Linked DNA regions of Xenopus tropicalis. The protein of the gene in region 4 interacts with the protein of the main gene of each other region in a pairwise test. Links are inferred from orthologs where the notes say so. Each region holds a gene or a part of one and is shown on either strand. Other genes may lie near its edges.

What was found.
Region 1: the proteins of wwp1 (region 4) and fam189a2 interact in binary tests that used the Homo sapiens proteins (3 or more experiments, as listed by UniProt). The link is inferred for Xenopus tropicalis from reciprocal best matches to the Homo sapiens genes WWP1 and ENTREP1.
Region 2: the proteins of wwp1 (region 4) and cpsf6 interact in binary tests that used the Homo sapiens proteins (3 or more experiments, as listed by UniProt). The link is inferred for Xenopus tropicalis from reciprocal best matches to the Homo sapiens genes WWP1 and CPSF6.
Region 3: the proteins of wwp1 (region 4) and arrdc1 interact in binary tests that used the Homo sapiens proteins (3 or more experiments, as listed by UniProt). The link is inferred for Xenopus tropicalis from reciprocal best matches to the Homo sapiens genes WWP1 and ARRDC1.

The regions. Positions count from the first base shown.
Region 1 is NC_030677.2:129,486,619-129,491,441, forward strand, and holds part of fam189a2 (protein FAM189A2), read left to right. Parts: intron 1-41; coding exon 42-170; intron 171-1,807; coding exon 1,808-1,915; intron 1,916-2,204; coding exon 2,205-2,338; intron 2,339-4,823. UniProt on the Homo sapiens protein: Functions as an activator of the E3 ubiquitin protein ligase ITCH in the ubiquitination of the CXCL12-activated CXCR4 receptor. Thereby, triggers CXCR4 endocytosis and desensitization, negatively regulating the CXCL12/CXCR4 signaling pathway.
Region 2 is NC_030679.2:58,921,650-58,926,973, reverse strand, and holds the start of cpsf6 (cleavage and polyadenylation specificity factor subunit 6), read left to right. Parts: upstream 1-2,186; 5' UTR 2,187-2,304; coding exon 2,305-2,364; intron 2,365-4,933; coding exon 4,934-5,143; intron 5,144-5,324. UniProt on the Homo sapiens protein: Component of the cleavage factor Im (CFIm) complex that functions as an activator of the pre-mRNA 3'-end cleavage and polyadenylation processing required for the maturation of pre-mRNA into functional mRNAs.
Region 3 is NC_030684.2:4,210,568-4,215,005, reverse strand, and holds part of arrdc1 (arrestin domain-containing protein 1), read right to left. Parts: intron 4,113-4,438; coding exon 3,977-4,112; intron 2,979-3,976; coding exon 2,874-2,978; intron 2,455-2,873; coding exon 2,295-2,454; intron 1,298-2,294; coding exon 1,115-1,297; intron 1,024-1,114; coding exon 847-1,023; intron 1-846. UniProt on the Homo sapiens protein: Functions as an adapter recruiting ubiquitin-protein ligases to their specific substrates. Through an ubiquitination-dependent mechanism plays for instance a role in the incorporation of SLC11A2 into extracellular vesicles.
Region 4 is NC_030682.2:125,462,019-125,467,490, forward strand, and holds the start of wwp1 (NEDD4-like E3 ubiquitin-protein ligase WWP1), read left to right. Parts: upstream 1-2,096; 5' UTR 2,097-2,176; intron 2,177-5,472. UniProt on the Homo sapiens protein: E3 ubiquitin-protein ligase which accepts ubiquitin from an E2 ubiquitin-conjugating enzyme in the form of a thioester and then directly transfers the ubiquitin to targeted substrates.

The DNA.
Region 1 (4,823 bases), on a different chromosome or scaffold from region 4:
TTGTTAATTTAAAAGATCTTTCCTTGTCCCTCTAATTACAGGTGGAAATGAATGAAGGCAAAGTCTGCGTGTGCTGTGAAGAAATCTATGCCAACAAGTGCCTTGAAAGAGAGAACTTTCTAAAGCTTTTCCCAGTTCAGTCCTGTAATGCCGTTCATCTCTTACTCAAGGTAGTAAAGAAAACTCACAGTGACGAGCTTTTATTTTACACCTGAATTGATTAACACCTCCCCCTCAATAATATGGGAACACACAGGGAATTGATCTCTAACACTCTTTATTAACCTCTACATTGTTGGGAGTGGAAGGATCTGAAAGCTAATTTCTAATTTCAGTTCATAATTCATAGCATTTTCTCATTACAACTTTATTTATGATTTTAACATTGCATAGCCATAGTCCCTGCATTCTTTCCCTAGATATAGTTTGTTGCCATCTTATTGCATCTGGTCAAGGTGACCTTTCAGTTACAAGAAACAAAAGAGCTGATGCATGTTCTTCTTTCCTGGCACTCAAAAGGCTTATTCGAATTTCGCTTATATCAACAATAGGTTATGCTGACCTGCTTATTAAAACAAATGCAGCTGGTAATGAATCAAATCACAATAACTTTTGGTTTTTAGTAAATATTAATTTAGTATTAGCATTATATAACCCATAATATTAAATAATGTTTTTTGTGTATTATTTTCTCACTAGATGGGGAAGAAATGTTAGTGAATTATTGTCCCAGAATTCTCTTGAATTTTAACAAAAGGCTGGACCTTTCCAATACCTGAGGGCTTGTTTATGAAAGCAAGCAAATGCAAAACTTTTTCCTAATGAATCCTTGTATCTGTAAATGCTTGTGCAACTTATGACTAATGTCATTGTTCCAGTCCAGCCTGCTTTGATAAATGCCAAGTAGTATAGGCAGACATGTCAGCTTTCCCTGATTTAACCCCTCACCCAGTCACCTACAGTAACAAACCACCCACTCACAAAGTCACTCACTGTCAGTAGTTTGCACTAGAATCTCAACTTCCTTTGTGTGTTACGTCTGCACATACAATAAAATTATATATATATATGTGAGCCTGCAGTAGCATGTTGCATTGGCCTGACAGCTTTCTGCAATCTCCATGCAAGTCCTCAGTTTTTATTAGTTATGAGATTGTATTTATAAATGGGATTTTGTTGGAGCTATTTGGGATTAGTTCCCAGAATTCTGTGTGTTTATTTGCATATGTATGAGAGGGTTTCCTCACCCCTTTTGATTTATCTGTGGATCCACACCCCTAGCTCTTCTTAAACTGATCAGAGACCCCTGCAATACACTGATGAGCCCTAAGAAGGGTGAAACCAGTCTGTAGTTGGGAATCTGATCAGCTATTATCCTGGTTTCTTCTTTTGAAACCTAGTGGGTGAGCTTTAGCCTATAGCAGTGCTGTCCAACTGGCCCGAAGCCCCATCTGTGTGGCACCCCACCTGTCTGGCTGCTGTCGTTGCTTACCTTTATGTAAGCTTTAAGTGGTTTTAGTATTGGCCTAAAGGATAAACCAATGTAAATGGGATTTGGAGCTCTTTGGGATTAGTTCCCAGAATTCTTTGTGTTTAAGTAGATTTTAGCAAATGGATTTGCAAAGAATGTTGAAAGAGGTAGTTTAAGCCATTTCCAGAGTCTGCACAAGGTATTCAAAACAAATGTTTTACTTTCAAAATTTTCCATTATATATCTACTCCTATTATGCCAAACATTGTTTATGCCATCAATGTTTTAGCTAAAAGCAAACTATTAAGTGTAAGAACTATTATATTCTATCCCTAGAAAGTCTTCTTCGCTCTGTGTGCTCTGAATGCCCTCACTACCACTGTGTGCCTGGTCGCTGCTGCCCTGCGCTACCTGCAGCTCCTCACAACTAGAAGGCCCTGCACAGTAAGTGAGTGTATAGTGCATAAGAAGGCAATTTCTTAATTGCCTGTTTGGAGGATACAATACATAAAAGATGACACTTGCCTATGATATGTTTTAAATATTTTATGCATTATTATTACTAGCAACAGAAATGGGACATTGCAATTACAAAATCATGGTTTTGCCTTAATGGTCTATGATCACAGTTTTTATATATTCTGATTTAAATTGCAATGTTTTTTTAAACTCTAGCCTTCAGGATTTTTATATTAGAAATGTAGTAAAGATGTATTTCATTGTATTTGACTAGGATGAGTCGCAAATATCAGCTGAGGAAGGAGAGGAACAAGAGCGGGTTCCAGACCCTGATGATTTTGTTGCTCCTGCACCACCTCCATCTTATTTCTCTACATTTTATTCCTGCACCCCCCGAATAAATCAGAGGTAAAACAGTATTCTTTTGTGCAATAGTTCACTTTTGGAGTTCAGAAGGGCCCCTTGTAGCACCTGGAGAATGCACTGAATGCAAATAAACTTAAATGTTACTATCATCAAACTGTTGTAAGTAGCATAGTGTTCCTTTAAAGGAGAACTACAGTTTAACAAAGTAGACTAGAAATGGTGCACATTTTGTGTTGGGGTTCTGTATCAGTTCAAAATGACTACATCCATTTGGCAAGGAAAATTTGCTACTCTGGAAATGCCCCCAGTAGCTCCCCATCTTCTTCTCTGCTGATTCACTGCACATGCTCTGTGCTGCTGTCAGTTACTGAGTTTAGGGACCCACTCACAATACACTGTGTATATAGAATATAAAAGTCACAATGAAAGGCTGAAAAGTAATTAATTCAGATTCACAGTACAAAGCAGCTCAGAAATCAGAATGAGAATCAGCCCTGTGGCATCAGCTTCTATAACAGGGGAATCTCATTTTCTGCTTGATAATTTGCAACAACCCCTAAGCTCAGTTTACCAACTGCTTCCCAGACCACACTGAGCATGTGAGTGTCACTTCAAACAAAATACAAATAGTGTCCCTCTGCACTCAACTTTAAATGCCTGAATCATTACTGTTATAGGGATGCTGAAACTTTGGACTGGTACAGTAAGTTTAGCATGTAAAATATGGCATTTCTACCAATTCTTGTTTTTAGGGTTTAGTTCTCCTTTAAAAGCATTACTAGAAAAGCAACTAGTCTTTTTATATTTCAGTTACCATGTTACCATGACAGTTATATGAATAATTTATCAATATTTATATTCTTTTGGGTTTTTTTGTTTTGTTTTGTTATAGTAATCCAAGGTTACCCTAGGCTGAGTTCTTTGTAAAAACTATATCTCAGTTGAGAGTTTAAATACCTGTCTTTTTTTTTTCAAGAATGTCCTCATTCCATTGTACGCAGCAAAAATTTAATGACCCATAATCCATCACTAACTTTGTTCGACATCACTTTTCAAACAGTTTGCCATGTCTTGATAGTTAATGCCTTAAAACCTTTTAGCTAGCTGAATTTATAGCACTGCATGTTTTCTATAGCTGAGGCCCAATCAACAGAAATACCAGGCTATAAGCCCATAAAGTAAATATTTTGTACGTGTGTTACCCACAACTCCGAGCAAGTTAAATCCAGCTTTCTCTGGCTCTGCTGTTGAAATATTTCTTTTCCTCTAGCCATTCGCTTGTAATTGACCTTATTCTCTTACAGAAGCTCTCTTAGGCTTGTTACTGGAATTTGGTAGTATACTAATTTACCTTTATAACATGAAAGGCATTGAATATACGTTTGCCTTTTATTTTAAGACAACAGAGATTGAGCCCAATCAGTCAAGCGAGATGCATGATCTGCAATATGAAACTCATTGACGTGTGTTAAGCTTTTGTTTTTTTGCTTTTCATTCAAGAACGTACAAGTCAGGTTAGTCAAATTGGAGGCTCATGGTCTGGATGTTCCCTATCACTGGATTGTTTGTAACAGTTCACATCCTGCCCCAAGACACTATATTTGTCAACAGATGATGGCAGCATGGTGGCACAATACATAACACTGTAGCTGGGGACCTATTTGCATTGTGCATGGGGGCACAAGTGCAAGAGTTTGCTAATTTATTAAGCACTTGAGCCTAATAAAAATTTTGGCCGCTCAGTGAAGAATGCAGCATCAGAATGTGCAGCTCAGCCCTATCCTTACCACCTGTCTTTGGGAAGGCAGTAAGGACAGGGCCCCAAAGCGGACTGTGCATCCTGCTACTCCTACCTGGCACCTCAGAATAATGTGCAAAGTAGGGGCAGATAGGGGGTGGGAGGGCAGGATGCCTACATGCCTCTCCTGCCCCCCCCCTCACTAATACAGCACTGACTAAGAAAGTTAGCGTTGTTTTAGCAAAGAGAACCGCTGGTCTTTACTCACACCCCAATGCAGCATACAAAGTGCATAATAATGAATGATTGCGCCCATTTTTTGCACTTTATATGCTGCCTTCTGGTTTACAAATGAGACATTGTATGTTCTCCATGTGTCTGCATGGGTTTCCTCCACACTTCAGTAATGAAATTTCAGGTTGATTGGATCCTGATAAAATTAACCATAGTGTGTGTATAAGAGCTAGGTTGTAAGCTCCACTTGGTCAGGGGCTGATGTGTATGATGTATAATCTCTGTAAAGAACTGGGGAATCTGTTGGCACTATATAAATAAAGAATTTAAGTAAGAATAACATGTGTACCATCAAATAGTCTCCCCTATGCAAGAAGATAGTTAAAAGTTAGGATAGATAGTCAAAGTTAAAGTATGTATGTTTTCATTGTTTATCAACACTGATATTATTAGTTTGTTTCCATGGTAAAAAAAAGAACACATATATTTGGTCTTTTATTGGGGGAGGAGTTACAAGGCTTCATATTTGAACTGCTTAACAGACTTAACAGACTA
Region 2 (5,324 bases), on a different chromosome or scaffold from region 4:
GACACTGTGGTTCTAACATCTCTAGTTGTGGCCCCAGCAATTAATAAAACTTTTATTCCAGAAACTTAAGACCAAAGTAGTCCAAACATTTCATGACACAAAGTGCCCAATATTTTATGACATTGTGTGGACTAATGACACAGAATGGTACAACATTTCATGAAACAGCGTGACTGCAGCCATTTAAGGCACAGTGACCCTAGCATATATATCGCAGTGACCCCAAGCATTTTCATGTAGCCCCAGAAATTTACAACACACTGTGGGGCCGATTCATTAAAACACGAGTTCAAATCCCGAATGGGAAAAATTCGGATTGGATACGATAATTTCTGAAGATCGAGAATTTTCCGCCGCCATTGTCGACTTTTTCGTATTGAACGATTGTAAACGGCGGGAAAACCTTTCCGACTTTAATCCTTCTGTGCATGATTTTGGAAGCCTCCCATAGGACTCAATGGCACTCTGCAGCTCCAACATGGCCCAAGGAAAGTCACGATACCGAAGCTTGAATGAATCCGAAACTTTCGTACTCGACGTGACCATACGAATTTGTTGCAAAAAAAATTGTTGCAAAAATAACGATCATTACGAAAAAACACATTCGGACACATCTGATTGGCTGTTGGTGGCTCCTTTCACTTTTTCTAATCTTGAATATTAATCCCACGGTTTTTAACTGTACAAGGGGACACTTGTACGGATAGTATAAGAATAGCAGCATTTTAAATTTAAACAAAGAAGATTCCCATAATGCCTCGCTCCTGCACCAAGACCAAGACCGGTGTACATATGCAGTGTGTAAGACTATGAGGAAGCTTTCTGCTGATTGGCTCAGATCACACATTCCTAAGGGGGGGAGGGAGTTCTTAGCATTCTTGAGGGAGGGGGGAGCAGGAGAGGGGAGAGAGGAGAGAGCTGCGTGTCTGTGGCACAGGAAATCAAAGAGACAAGAAATCCTGTATCTTTTTATAGAGGACTCAGTGCAGCGTTTCCGTGAGTGCTTATGGCTGTATTTACATAGACCTACCTGATAAAGCTTACTTAGTTTTTACCTTTTCTTCTCTTTTAATTTATTATTACAGAAACAAACAAATAAATGAATTAGTATTTTATTATTAGGATTGAATTTACTCATTGGGCAGAATATAGTTAGGGTTGCCTTCCATGTGGTTTTGAACAGTTTTTGAGAGGGCTGTCTAGTTCAAAAGGTCTTTCTAGAAATCCAATTGCATCTAAGTGATGCCATAACCTTGCTTTGGTGTCATAATCCCACTGACATAATTTTGCCCACTTCTGATGTCATCATGCCCATGTCCAACATCACTGCCCCACCCCCTTTGTTGCAGTTTAGCCTCTGACAAAGGTGGCAACCTTAGTAGGCATTGTCTGTATAGACACCATTTGCTGTATCTGTCCATTTGTTTTAAAGTTGGCAATGAAATGGATGAGCCCCCACCCCCCTGACCTCCAGCAATGGAAACAACTTGTTAACACTAGACTCCCACTTATTAAACTAACATACCTTGCCAGGGGTTGCCCTAGCAAATTCTAGAGAATATGGCGTCTATACAGACAATGCCTACTAAGGTTGCCACCTTTGTCAGAGGCTAAACCTCAACAAAGGGGGCGGGGCAGTGATGTTTGACATGGGCATGATGACATCAGAAGTGGGCACAATTATGTCAGTGGGATTATGACACCAAAGCAAGGTTATGGCATCACTTAGATGCAACTGGATTTCTAGAGAGACCTTTTGAACTAGACAATCCTCTCAAAAACTGTAAGAAGCTCAACCAGAAGCGAGTCCCACAGTATAACCCTGAGACTTTTACACCAAAGGTCTCCCCCAAATCACAGGCCTTATCCAAACTACTTAGGCCACACCGACTGTATCTAGCTGACCCTGCTACTGTATACTTTCTCCATGGTCATAGCACTAATTATTGTATATGCTATTGTGCTGGTTTTATGTTTCTGTTTGTAAAGAAAATAATAAAAACCTTTAAAAAATGTTTTTCATATATCTTCATAACACGGTGTTCTGACGAGAATATGAATTTGACTTGGGGCAAGTTTCTATTCACCTTCAGCCATATCTTTCTAATGCTGCTGCTCATTGTTCGCGTTCCAACGAGTTTGTACAATACAAATTATACTATGTGAAAAAAAACGCGCGCAACTAGCTGGTTCAGTATCCAGTAGAGGAAGTGACGCGCCCGTTCCCGCCTTCCCCCTCCCGACCCACTCCTCCCAGCTCGCACCGCCTCCGTGACTGCCTAGCGCTGCCGCTCCAGGCGGAAGATGGCGGACGGAGTGGATCATATCGATATCTACGCAGATGTGGGCGAGGAATTTAATCAGGTATCGCGAGTGGGAAATATGGGTGCAGCAAGTGGTTGTCATGCTGGTGCGAGTCGTCTGTGTGTGCTTGGGCCGCCTCCCGACTTCTCGCAGATAAAAGAAGCGCCTGTTTGTTTTGTTATTATTTGTAGGCCTATGTATGCTATCAAGTCTTTAAAGCATTTCTTTTACCCTGGAGATTCGCAAAATTTGTACAGAGGCGGGCAAGCCGAACCCGGCCACACAGCCTTCTGCACTTTCTTTGTGTAGGCCGCGTGTGCCGGGGCCTTGAGTTCCACGGAACTTCAGTCTAGTGCCATTGCCCAGAGCCCTGCTGGATTAGTTATGTGTGGGTTACGGGGGCTCTAGACTAAAACAGTAGTTGTTGGGATTTTCTTTTTCTTAGAGACTGTGGGAAGACGAGCTTTTACGGACTACAACAATTGTTCACCCCTTCAAATACCACTCTATTTTAAAAAATTGTTCTAAGCTACTAGGGTTGTTTGGAAAGACTAATGAAAAACCTTCACAACTGTTATCATAATTGCTTCCCCCCCCCCCCCCAAATAAATCTACTTATCCATTGGTCGAAATAGAGAATATAATAGGCTGTAACATACATGGGGCCCTGGAGCATCTCGCCGGCAGCTGCTAGGTACCACTGTCTTTATTTTGGGGGGTACAAGAAAATAGGTACCATACATAATGTAATAAAATGCATCTGCTGTCATTTTCCAAACTATTCTTTATAGAAAAATGTACACTTTTCTAATATCATAAAACGGTGTACTTTTCCTATCTGTCTTGAATTGAGAGAGACAGCACAGCAATCATTTACTTGTAAATGTAGAACTATACAGTTGCAGTTTCACATAATGGATAAAAAATTAAATGCCAATGGTTGAAGGGAAAAAAAACTGAAAATGTGGTTTGTTCAACCTTTAATAACAGGTTTATACTGGTATCTTTAATATCCTTCAGCTATAAATACACCATCTCTAGATTAGCAAATGAATGCAGGATGTCAATATCTGGTATAGGCAGTAGTGGCCCCATTGCTGATATACGTCAGACTTTCTCCATATTTAAATTAGAAGTGAATTTCAGCTAATTGACTATTTAAAGCACAAAAAAGTATTGGCAAATCCATTACTATTTATATTAGATCTAATGCTTTTATTTTTCATGGAAATTTACCCTAGTTATGTTCTATATTATTCATTAAAACACATTTTCTGTACCACAGGGATAAAATCAACATTTGTTTCTTTTTTAGAGCAGCAAGGTATTGAAAGATTCTTGTTATACAGGGGGGGGGGGCTGGTGGAGGAAATAATCAAATATCAATTTCTTAAATTAAAATGTGTTCCCCTTTTTTTTGGTTGAGGACTGAAACAATATTCAGATGCTTGTAAAATAAGCTGTCAGAAATAATGTAGCTGTTGTTTTCTTATCTTTGTAGACTTCCAAACCTCCTTGGATTTTTGCAATGTTGGGGTGTTAGTGCAGAGGCATATACAGAACTGTGTTACACATGGAACTGCCTCTTGTGACTGTCAAAGCATCAGAAAATATTTTAAATGCTGTAGAACAGGGGTCCCCAACCTTTTTTACCCGTGAGCCACATTCAAATGTAAAATGTCAGGGAGCAACACAAGCATAAAAAGGTTTCTGGGGGTGCCAAATATGGGCAGTAAATGGCTAATCTGGTAGCCTCTAAAGCTGGCCATACATGCACCGATAATATCGTACGAAACCTCGTTTTGTACGATATTCGGTGCGTGTATGGTAAGTCAGCGAGTCGACCGATATCGCAGGAGGCTGCTGATATTGGTCGACGCGCCGATCGGCCAGGTTAAAAGATTTTGATCGAGCGCCATAGAAGGCGCCTGAGCAAAATCTGCCTTCAGGGCTGAATCGGCAGCCTTATTTGCTGTTTCAGCCCTGAACGGTTAATGGCTGATTGAACAGCATTACATTATATAGTAATTACTTTTATACACTTTCATTTTTTGGTGTTACTGTCCCTTTAAAGTTCCGATGATAAGGCACCCAATCAAAATTTTCAGTCCTGCGCGATTGACAAGGCAACCAATATCTTAAGGCATTTACTGATATTGGTTGCTGTGTCTCCCACCATGCATGTGCCGATTATTATACAACAAAGTTTCCTTTACACTTTAGTTGTTGAGGGGGGATTTTATGTTTTTGTCCCCATTGCTATAGTCACAAATATCCAAAGGTGCAAATTATGGAGATCACTCGCATTGCCAATGTCCTTTTTTTCAGGCAAAAAACCAAATGTTCCATTAAGAATTGTTGTGTTTATCTGAACAACACAGCAAAACATCTTTGCTTGTAAGTGCATTCCTAGTCCATACATATTTATCTAAAACCAGTAATTGATTTGCCTTTGAAAGAATCATTAGGTGAACAATGTATTCTTTAAAAATTGACATGTATAATAAAGTGGAGAATGCATCAATATGTTAAAATTTGTAAATTAATAATAATAATTAAGGCCCTGATCCAGGCAACAGGCAGCTGCTTGAAGAGGTATGAACATTCATATTTTTTGTTTGTATTAAAGGAAGCAGAATATGGTGCACATGAGCAAATTGAACTCTATGAGGATGTCATCTCACCATCTGCAAACAATGGAGATGCTCCTGAGGACCGCGACTATATGGATAATCTAGCAACTTCTGTTGGAGATGATGTAGTGAAAGGATCTGTTCCTAATATTGTGTATACCTATACTGGTAAACGAATAGCACTCTACATTGGAAATCTAACATGGGTAAGTAAAGGCATAACAATAACATTTTTCTGCTCCTATTGTGTAGTTTATGTTGATTTCATGCTGCACAAGGTGTTTTGACCACTGCACAAGAAAACAACCACCACTAAAAATATGCTGTCTGCATTTATTTTATTCCTGTGAAAGGCATATATCTGCCTTTATCTACACTTCAACAGTG
Region 3 (4,438 bases), on a different chromosome or scaffold from region 4:
AGGGAATGTTCTGGGCACACAATAAGCTGTACCCCCATACTGTACTGTCTAAGGGAAACACTATGGCACCCCCTACCCATATGTATAAATACAAATATACAGAGAAGGAATGTTCTGGGCACACAATAAGCTGTACCCCCATACTGTACTGTCTAAGGGAAACACTATGGCACCCCCTACCCATATGTATAAATACAAATATACAGAGAAGGGATGTTCTGGGCACACAATAAGCTGTACCCCCATACTGTACTGTCTAAGGGAAACACTATGGCACCCCCTACCCATATGTATAAATACAAATATACAGAGAGGGAATGTTCTGGGCACACAGTAAGCTGTACCCCCATACTGTACTGTCTAAGGGAAACACTATGGCACCCCCTACCCATATGTATAAATACAAATATACAGAGAAGGAATGTTCTGGGCACACAATAAGCTGTACCCCCATACTGTACTGTCTAAGGGAAACACTATGGCACCCCCTACCCATATGTATAAATACAAATATACAGAGAGGGAATGTTCTGGGCACACAATAAGCTGTACCCCCATACTGTACTGTCTAAGGGAAACACTATGGCACCTCCTACCCATATGTATAAACTTTTCGCTATAGGATTGAGACAAGTTATTGGCAATCGCCAGTAATGTCTGTGCACACAGTGAGTCATTGCTAGACGATCAATACATTCCTTCCTAGCTAGAACATCACCATGGTTACTGCAAGGAGAGACAGGCAGTCTCAGGAAACAGATGTACCTGAAGCCGACAGTGAAATATTGGGGGGAACTTTACCCAGAATCCTCTCTGTTTAGTAGCAGTAGGGCAGCGCCACGTTACCTGGATGTAGTAGTCAATATGGATGAGGTTGCACCCCTGCAGAATGGACTGCGGAAGAGCCGGAACCAGGATCTGCTCGTCCCACACCGCCCGCTTCCAAGCCTTCACCGGGGCCCCTTCCACCTCCGCGATGGTCCGGAGGTCGTACACCACCCGCTTCGACTTGTAGGCGATTTTCTAACAGCAGAGAAAGACGGGTAAGAAAAAAAAAAAAAATTCCCCAAAACATTTAGTTTTAGTTTCTACCCCTAAGCCCCGCCCCCTTTACCTGGACCAGAGCCGCCACGATGGAGCCGGTGTCGCGGCCGGACTTGTTCTCCAGTTCCGTGTGGATCTGTATGGCCTGTCCCACCACGTAGCCGCGCAGGTCGGAGCTGGCCGCCAGTAGGACCTGCCCGGACTTCACCAGGAGGTAGTTGAACTTCTTAGTCGCCGACGCGCAGTTCCGTTGCTGGAAGAGAAACCGGTTTAGCAACGAAGGGGAGGGCTATGGGCACCAACATGGCCGCCACCAACATTAAAGGGGATGTTCAATTGCAATTGGTGTTCATTTTTTTAGTTTTTCTGCAGCTCTCCAGTTTGGAGTTTCAGCAGCTATCTGGTTGCTAGGGTCCAAATTACCTTAGCAACCAGGGAGTGGTTTGAATAGAAAGATAAGGAATAAAAAGTAACATTAACAATAAAACTGGAGCCTCACAGAGCAATAGGGTTTGGCTGCCGGGGTCAGTTATCCTGTTGCTAGGGCTCAAATGACCTTAGCAACCAGGGAGCTGTTTGATTGGGAGGCGGGTATATGAATACGGGAGGGGCTGAATAGAAAGATAAGGAATAAAAAGTAACAATAACAATAAAACTGGAGCCTCACAGAGCAATAGGGTTTGGCTGCCGGGGTCAGTTATCCTGTTGCTAGGGCTCCAATTACCTTAGCAACCAGGCAGCGGTTTGAATGAGAGACTGGTATATGAATAGGGGGAGGGGCTGAATAGAAAGATAAGGAATAAAAAGTAACAATAAAACTGGAGCCTCACAGAGCAATAGGGTTTGGCTGCCGGGGTCAGTGACCCCCATTTGAAAGCTAGAAAGGGTCGGAAGAAGAAATAATGAAAATAGTATAACAAATAAATAATGAAGACCAATTGAAAAGTTGCTTATAATTGGTCATTCTATGACGAACTAAAAGCTGACTTGAAGGTGAACTTCCCCTTTAAAACACTAGCCCCTTTATTTAGGAATGGGCTCTGCTACTAAATTAGGGGGTACCCATAGTACCCAATGCACAGGGTTGGACTGGGGGGTGCAGAGCCCTTAGGGGACCCCCTGGCCCAGTCTGACCCTGCAGCACAGAAGTGGGGGGCATTCATTATGCAGCTCCTCCCTTGAAAGGGGAGGGCACTAAATCCATCCACTGTGCCCCGCCCCCTAAGGGATCCAATTAAGGCGCCGCCCACCTCGATTTCCGGGATCTCGTTGAGGTCGAGCGGCCGGAGGATGTAGAAGAGTTTGGCGCTCTTGTAGTCTTTGGAGAGTCGCTTGGTCTCGATGGCCGCCCGGACCTGGTGCGTCACCTTCCCGAAGGGACCCTCGAAGGACGTGGCGGCCCGTTTCGGCCTTCGTTATTGGGCCGGCGGGAGTGTGTGGGCGGGTTGTGCGGCCCCGGGGAAACGTCCGCGCTATTTAAAATATGTGGGGTGGGGTACGTTGTCTTGCAACCTTATTGTAGGGGGCGGGGGGGTGGGTCCGCCTAGTTGTTCTTGTGGTTTTCGGTGGTTTATGTTTTGGTTGGGGGGGTTATTTTCTTGTATTGGGCCTCCTGTGTTCTGCTGTTCGGACACGCTTTGGGTCGTGCTGGGGCATTAGGATGGTTGGCTGTTGGGCCGACGTGGTATCAGGAGGGGGGCTGTGGTGGGGGCCCGGGCGGGGGCACTATGTGGTATGGCCGTGCGCCAGCTATTGTGTGCAGCTGTAGGGGATGATGGCCTCGACGGCGAGCGTGGGGGGTCTTTTGCGGGGTACGCCGGTGTGCGCACCGGAGCTTTTCGAGGACGGTTGGGGCGTTTTCTGGGTGCGGGGCCACGTATTCGGCAGAGCTGAAGGTGTGGGGGCATTTATCGAGTGGGCCTACTTTTGCCAGGCTGAAGGGGGTATTTTGAGGTGAAGGGGAGTATTTATCGGCAGGTGAGGGGCCCACGTACCTTTTGGCAGTGCAGGGGCGGCGTTTTATGGCGGCCTGGGGGTGGGGGGTACTTTATCGGCCGGCTGAGGGGGGGGAGTACTTTATGGTGAGGGCTGGGGGGCTGTCCCAACTTTATGGGAGGTGTGAGGGGGGGCAGTTTTATGGCGGGAAGGGCTGGGGTGGAGGTGAGGGGTGAATCGGCGGCTGAGGGGTACCTTTATGGAGGGAATTGGGGGCGCCGGCCTGGGGCAGTACCTTTATGCCAGTGAAGGGCCTGGGGGGCCCCAGGTGAAGGGACCTTTATGAGGAAGGGGGGGGGATATTTTGAAGGTGAAGGGGTGGGGGCAGTTTTATAAGGGAAGGGTGGGGGCAGTACTTATTGAAGGGGTGGGGGATGTACCTTTATCGGCCAGGCTGAAGGGGCCCCACGTACCTTTATCGGCCAGGCTGAAGGGGTGGGGGCCCCACGTACCTTTATCGGCCAGGCTGAAGGGCTGGGGGGGCCACTGTTTTATGCAGCTGAGGGGCGCAGTACTTTATCGGCAGGCTGAAGGGGCTGGGGGCACGTACCTTTATCGGCCAGGCTGAGGGGATGGGGGGTGCCACGTATTTGGAGGCTAGGGGAGTATTTAGAGGTGAGGGCTGGGGGCGTATTTTGGACGGGTGAGGGGCAGTTTTGGTCAGGTCGAAGGGGGGGCCACGTACCTTTTGCCAGGGAAGGGGTGGGGGGAGTATTTATAGAAGGCTGAAGGGGTGGGGGCCCACGTATTTATGGCGGTTGAAGGGGCTGGGGGCCCAGTATTTATCGGAGGCTGAAGGGGCTGGGGGCACGTTTATCGGCCAGGCTGAAGGGGCTGGGGGGCGTATTTAGAGGGCCTGAGGGGCAGTATTTTGGCAGGTGAAGGGCTTGGGGGCAGTTTATTGAGGGGGTACTTAGCGGTGAGGGGTGGGGCGTACTTTATGCCAGGCTGAGGGCTGGGGACGTATTTAGTGAGGGTGGGGGGCCGTTTATGCAGTGCTTGAAGTGTGTGTTGAAGTATTTGTCTCAGGGAGTGTGTCAGTTGTTGGAGCCGAGAGCGCAGTACACTGATGGCTGACGAGGGGATGGGAGGGGAAATTAGTAAACGAATCATCATCAGGGCTTATGAGTAATTATCAAAAATGGTAAGGACAATTTATTTGTAAATGGTATAGGTCAGATATGGGGGAATTCTATGTGAATCCTGTATGGCCATTACAGATGTATGAGAATGATGATATGGGGGAAATTTAATTAGTCTGTTATGGACTATCAGCATTTTGCGAACCTATTTACTAGCATGGGGAACTCTATATAACTCTTGTTTGAATTAAGCTGTATATAGATAGATATGGGGACTATTAAATCTTGTTATGGAATTACCAGCATGCTTATCTAGA
Region 4 (5,472 bases):
GTCCTGGTGTGTGCGCATTTTTGTGCATGCGCGGGGAGGGGGAAGTGGTGGGGCCAAGGTGGCTGGCTGGGTCGCCTAGGGTGCCTGGCCCACTTGGCCCGCCTCTGCCTATTAGTAAATGAACCACACATGAGGTGATTGTATTATTTATCCTGTTTCTTTGCTATTTTGTTCTGGGACACCAGAACAATATGTTGGCACAATGTTTAGGTGAAAACTACTACAGGTTGGTGCATTATTTTAAGAAGATGATAGCCAGCGTGGGGTAAGGAACATACTTTTCTAATCCCATCCTCTAAATGCAACACTCTCCACAGCCCCTTTAGCACACATGCCATATGAGGCAAAGGCTTAGCAACAAAATATGCCGGTTTGTTTCAAAAGCGTTGAATATGTTGCACTATAGCACAGTTGATTCCCTCACACAAAAATCTGGAGCTAATAAAAATGACACCCCCTCTTGTTGTGATGTGCAGGTTGACCTGAAACATGTGGGGTCTGTTTTTGCTTATAGCCCACAATCCCTTATCAATAGTACTGGTTGTTTATCATTAAAGTGATACTGACACCAGAAATTAAATCTTTTTTTACATCTATCATTCATTATCTTAAAAGTATTTGCCCAATACTTTTACATTACATTACCTACTATCTGATCCCCCATGTTCCTCTGTGAGGGGACTGCCAAGTAACAGTTACTTAGGGCCGTGGTAGACGGGGAGATTAGTTGCCCGTGACAAATCTCCCTTGTTGCGGGCGACTAATCTCTCTGATATGCCATCATACAGGCTTGAATGTAAATCGCCAGTGGTATGGCATATGCGGCGTTGCGATTTCCGAAAACTGCGGAAGTTGCCTTGAGAGGAAACTTGTGCGATTTCGGGAAATCGCGTCGCCGCATATGCCATACCACTGGCGATTTACATTCAAGCCGGTGGGATGGCATATCGGGGTGATTAGTCGCCCGCAACAAGGGAGATTTGTCACGCGGCGACTAATCTTCCCGTCTGTCACAGCCCTTAGCGCCAGTATCACTTTAAGGCTAATGGCACTTGGGGTAGTGCTGGAATGGCAAATATTCTGGCAAAACCCGTAGTGACTGCTGTGAATTGCATAGACCGGTGCTTTATTTGAGGTTGTTAGAGGACTGTCTCAGCCTCAGTTTATTTGTAATGCCAAGACTTATTTAGATCTTAGTACAGACAACATGGTGTGTTTTGACTACTACCTGTTAGGGTGAAGACACACAGAGCTACTTAGTAGCAGCTACTTGTCACAGCTACTAAACGCCAGAAAATCCCCTGCCACAGACAATACTGAGAATTGCCTCTGCTAAAACACATGTAGAGACAGTTATCAGTAAATGATCAGCATTGTCTATTTTTGCAGCTGTGACAAGTAGCTGCTACTAGTAGCTCCATGTGTCTTCACCCTAAGTGCCAGTGCCAAGTGGGGTGCTGGAGTCTTTACCCTTACTGCTTCTAATGGCAAGTGCATAGGGTTTGCAACTTTTAAAAATGATTTAACCTGCTGGGCTGGGGTGACAAGGGGGGTGGGGTGATGCTGTAAAGGCCCAGGGTGATAATATGAGCAGAAGAGAATTGGCATGTTGGGCAGAGGGCAGCTTCTGGTCTGAAAAGGGATGAACAATTAGGGTGGATCAGTGCAATGACACGCAATGGCACTGTTATACTGGTCCCAGCTTTAGCATGTGTTTTACCACTGGTAGAATAGCAACCCTGAAAGTGTCCCTGCTGATACACTTGGAGCAGTAAAAAGCCATAAACTAATGCTGCCTGAAACACAAAAAGTTGATTTAAACTTTAACAACAACTTTAACATGTCCCTCCTGGCCTAGTCTAAAGAGGAGCATCAAACTAAACTCATACAGATTAATGCGGGTTTAGCCAGAGAATTATATAGGTGACGTCACGCAAAGCTTGTCCCAATCCTGTCACGACATGGCCACGCCCCGTGTTATTGCTGGTAGGTGGGAGACACGTGACGTTTCCTGGGCGGGAGTTTGATGACGCGAGGGGGCGGAGTCCGGGGAAGCTCTGTGAGACGGCCGCAGTGGTGCCCGGAGCTGGCAGCGTGTGAATCGGACGGGAGCTCGGAAGGAGGAAGAGGCGGCCCGGGGAGGGGAGGGGAGGCCGAGGACGGGACATCCGCCCCGGTATGTTGGCAGCTGTGTCAGCTGGTTGGTGAAGTCGATAGGTTTCCCGCAGCAGTGTATGAGGGCATGTCGGTGCCACACACTGCTTGTTCTGCTCCTTGCCCCTAGGCTACTATTCCTTGTCTCCGCCTGGCATTAGCTACGGGCAATACCACTAGTGCTTTGCGCTGCTGTCGGTGATCCCATTCCCCGCTTTGCGTTTTTCTCTCAAGCCTTTCATTGTCGTGGTTTGTTGCGATCCGCTATTCTCCGGTCTCAGTACTCGCTCACATCTCTATGGCCTTAAGGGCCACCGGATATCTCGCTAGCTGTTTCCTTTCATCAGGGGCTTCTGGTTATTGTGTCACAGGTGGGCTAATGCTAGCCTGACTTCATTCATCATATGACTTGAACCCTGTACCCTCCTAGTGCCGCTGCCAAATCTGCCCATATCCATGTATAGTGTATAGCAGCAGCCTCCTTGCCAAGTGTATCCATGTATGTGCTACTTCTTTTGTGTCTTCCTTGTCTCCATGTGTAATGCTCACATTTAGCTTCACTCTCCTTGCCAAGTGTATCCATGTATTTCCCACCTCTGTTGTGTCTTCCTTGTCTCCATGTGTAATGCTCACATTTAGCTTCACTCTCCTTGCCAAGTGTATCCATGTATGTGCCACCTCTGTGGTGTCTTCCTTGTGTCTTTGTGCACTCTTCACATTTAGCTTCACCCTCCTTGCCAAGTGTATCCATGTATGTGCCACCTCTGTGGTGTCTTCCTTGTCTCCATGTGTAATGCCCACATTTAGCTTCACCCTCCTTGCCAAGTGTATCCATGTATGTGCCACCTCTGTGGTGTCTTCCTTGTCTCCATGTGTAATGCCCACATTTAGCTTCACCCTCCTTGCCAAGTGTATCCATGTATGTGCCACCTCTGTGGTGTCTTCCTTGTGTCTTTGTGCACTCTTCACATTTAGCTTCACCCTCCTTGCCAAGTGTATCCATGTATGTGCCACCTCTGTGGTGTCTTCCTTGTCTCCATGTGTAATGCCCACATTTAGCTTCACCCTCCTTGCCAAGTGTATCCATGTATGTGCCACCTCTGTGGTGTCTTCCTTTTGTCTTTGTGCACTCTTCACATTTAGCTTCACCCTCCTTGCCAAGTGTATCCATGTATGTGCCACCTCTGTGGTGTCTTCCTTGTCTCTATGTGTAATGCTCTCATTTAGCTTCACCCTCCTTGCCAAGTGTATCCATGTATGTGCCACCTCTGTGGTGTCTTCCTTGTCTCTATGTGTATTGCCCACATTTAGCTTCACTCTCCTTGCCAAGTGTATCCATGTATGTGCCACCTCTGGTGTCTTCCTTGTCTCTATGTGTAATGCCCACATTTAGCTTCACTCTCCTTGCCAAGTGTATCCATGTATGTGCCACCTCTGTGGTGTCTTCCTTGTCTCTATGTGTAATGCTCTCATTTAGCTTCACCCTCCTTGCCAAGTGTATCCATGTATGTGCCACCTCTGTGGTGTCTTCTTTGTGTCTTTGTGCACTCTTCACATTTAGCTGCAATCTCCTTGCCAAGTGTATCCATGTATGTGCCACCTCTGTGGTGTCTTTCTTGTCTCCATGTGTAATGCCCACATTTAGCTTCACCCTCCTTGCCAAGTGTATCCATGTATGTGCCACCTCTGTTTTGTCTTCCTTGTCTCCATGTGTAATGCTCACATTTAGCTTCACTCTCCTTGCCAAGTGTATCCATGTATTTCCCACCTCTGTGGTGTCTTTCTTGTCTCCATGTGTAATGCTCACATTTAGCTTCACCCTCCTTGCCATCTGTATCCATTTATGTGCCACCTCTGTGGTGTCTTCTCAGTGTCCATGTAATGTCCATATTGAGATTTTTCATGATTAAAACAATAGGCAAAAAAAGTATGTTCAGAAAACAACAATTAATAGAGGGTACTCCCTTATGCAAATATAGTAAAGGATGCAAAAGTAAAGACTCTTACCCAAATAGAGGCAAAAGTAAAGCAAACTACAAAAGGTCACTTTGCACTCCAAAACAAAGTATGTTCAGCACAAGCCCTGTGTATTGAGCTTGTGCTGTGCAAGGGGGGTATACTGCCACTCCACCTTTTTTGCCAACTCAGTGTTGTCTTGCGCCTGTGCACCTTTAGGGTGAAGACACACAGAGCTACTTAGTAGCAGCTACCCCTGCCATAGACAATACTGAGAATTGCCTCTGCTAAAACACATGTAGAGACAATTATCAGTAAATGATCAGCATTGTCCATTTTAGTAGCCATGACAAGTAGCTGCTACTACCGGTAGTAGGTCATTGTGTCTTCACCCTTAATTGCATTCTCTCTGCTTAGTCTACCCTTTTTTTGTCCAAGCACTCCCCGCCAGGTATGCCGTTGTCTTTTGTTTATCTTTTGTGAAATTTACTTTGGACCAAGTGCATCGTACTTTAGCTACCAGTGTTTCCCAACCATGTTGCTCCCCTAATCCCTTTGATATTGCTTCCAGTGGCCTCAAAGCAGGTGTTCATTTTTGAATTTCTTACTTGGAGGCACAAAGGCCATGTGTACTGCCACACAGAGCCAAATATGCCATTATTTGGCACCCCCTTGGAACTTTTTTCATGCTTGCGTTGCTGCCAACTCTTTTTATTTAAATGTTTTCTATAGGTAAAAAAGTTGGACACCTTTATTTCAAACTTTCCATAGGTGTTATTTCTATATCATTTCCATAAAGCTTGTCCAAGTTGTTCATTCTTGCCATACTACCCCCCCCCATTGTCAGATTATTGAATAAAATAAATAACGAAAAATATATAGTAGTACTTTGCCCTAGAAGTTGTATTAATGGTCACCAGCCTTCTCAGGGCCTTCAACAGGTTACTTAACCTAATATGACTTGTAAATGTGTGCCATGTCATGACAAATGTGTTTACTGATCATGTATCACTGTTATTTTGAAAGGAAGAAAGGTTATGTTGGTTGGTTGGTTCATTGTGGATAAAAATGTATTTAGTTTTGGCCATTTGTGCTGAAAATACTATTAAAAACCTTTGTCCCCAGTTGATTGAAACTTTAGTTTGGTAAATAAATGAACAGCCCATCCTCATACACTCCCACAAGGAGTCTTGGGAATACTGTCTGAAACTGGTCTTATTACTACATTCTAACAATGGCTAAACCCCTTTGTGGTAACTTATTCCAAACAGTCAGTGTATATGTCCTTATCAAGTAGGTTATATTGGATAACAAGGAGACAGTGGGCAAAGCATATGAAGAATACCAGAATTACTGAGTCCA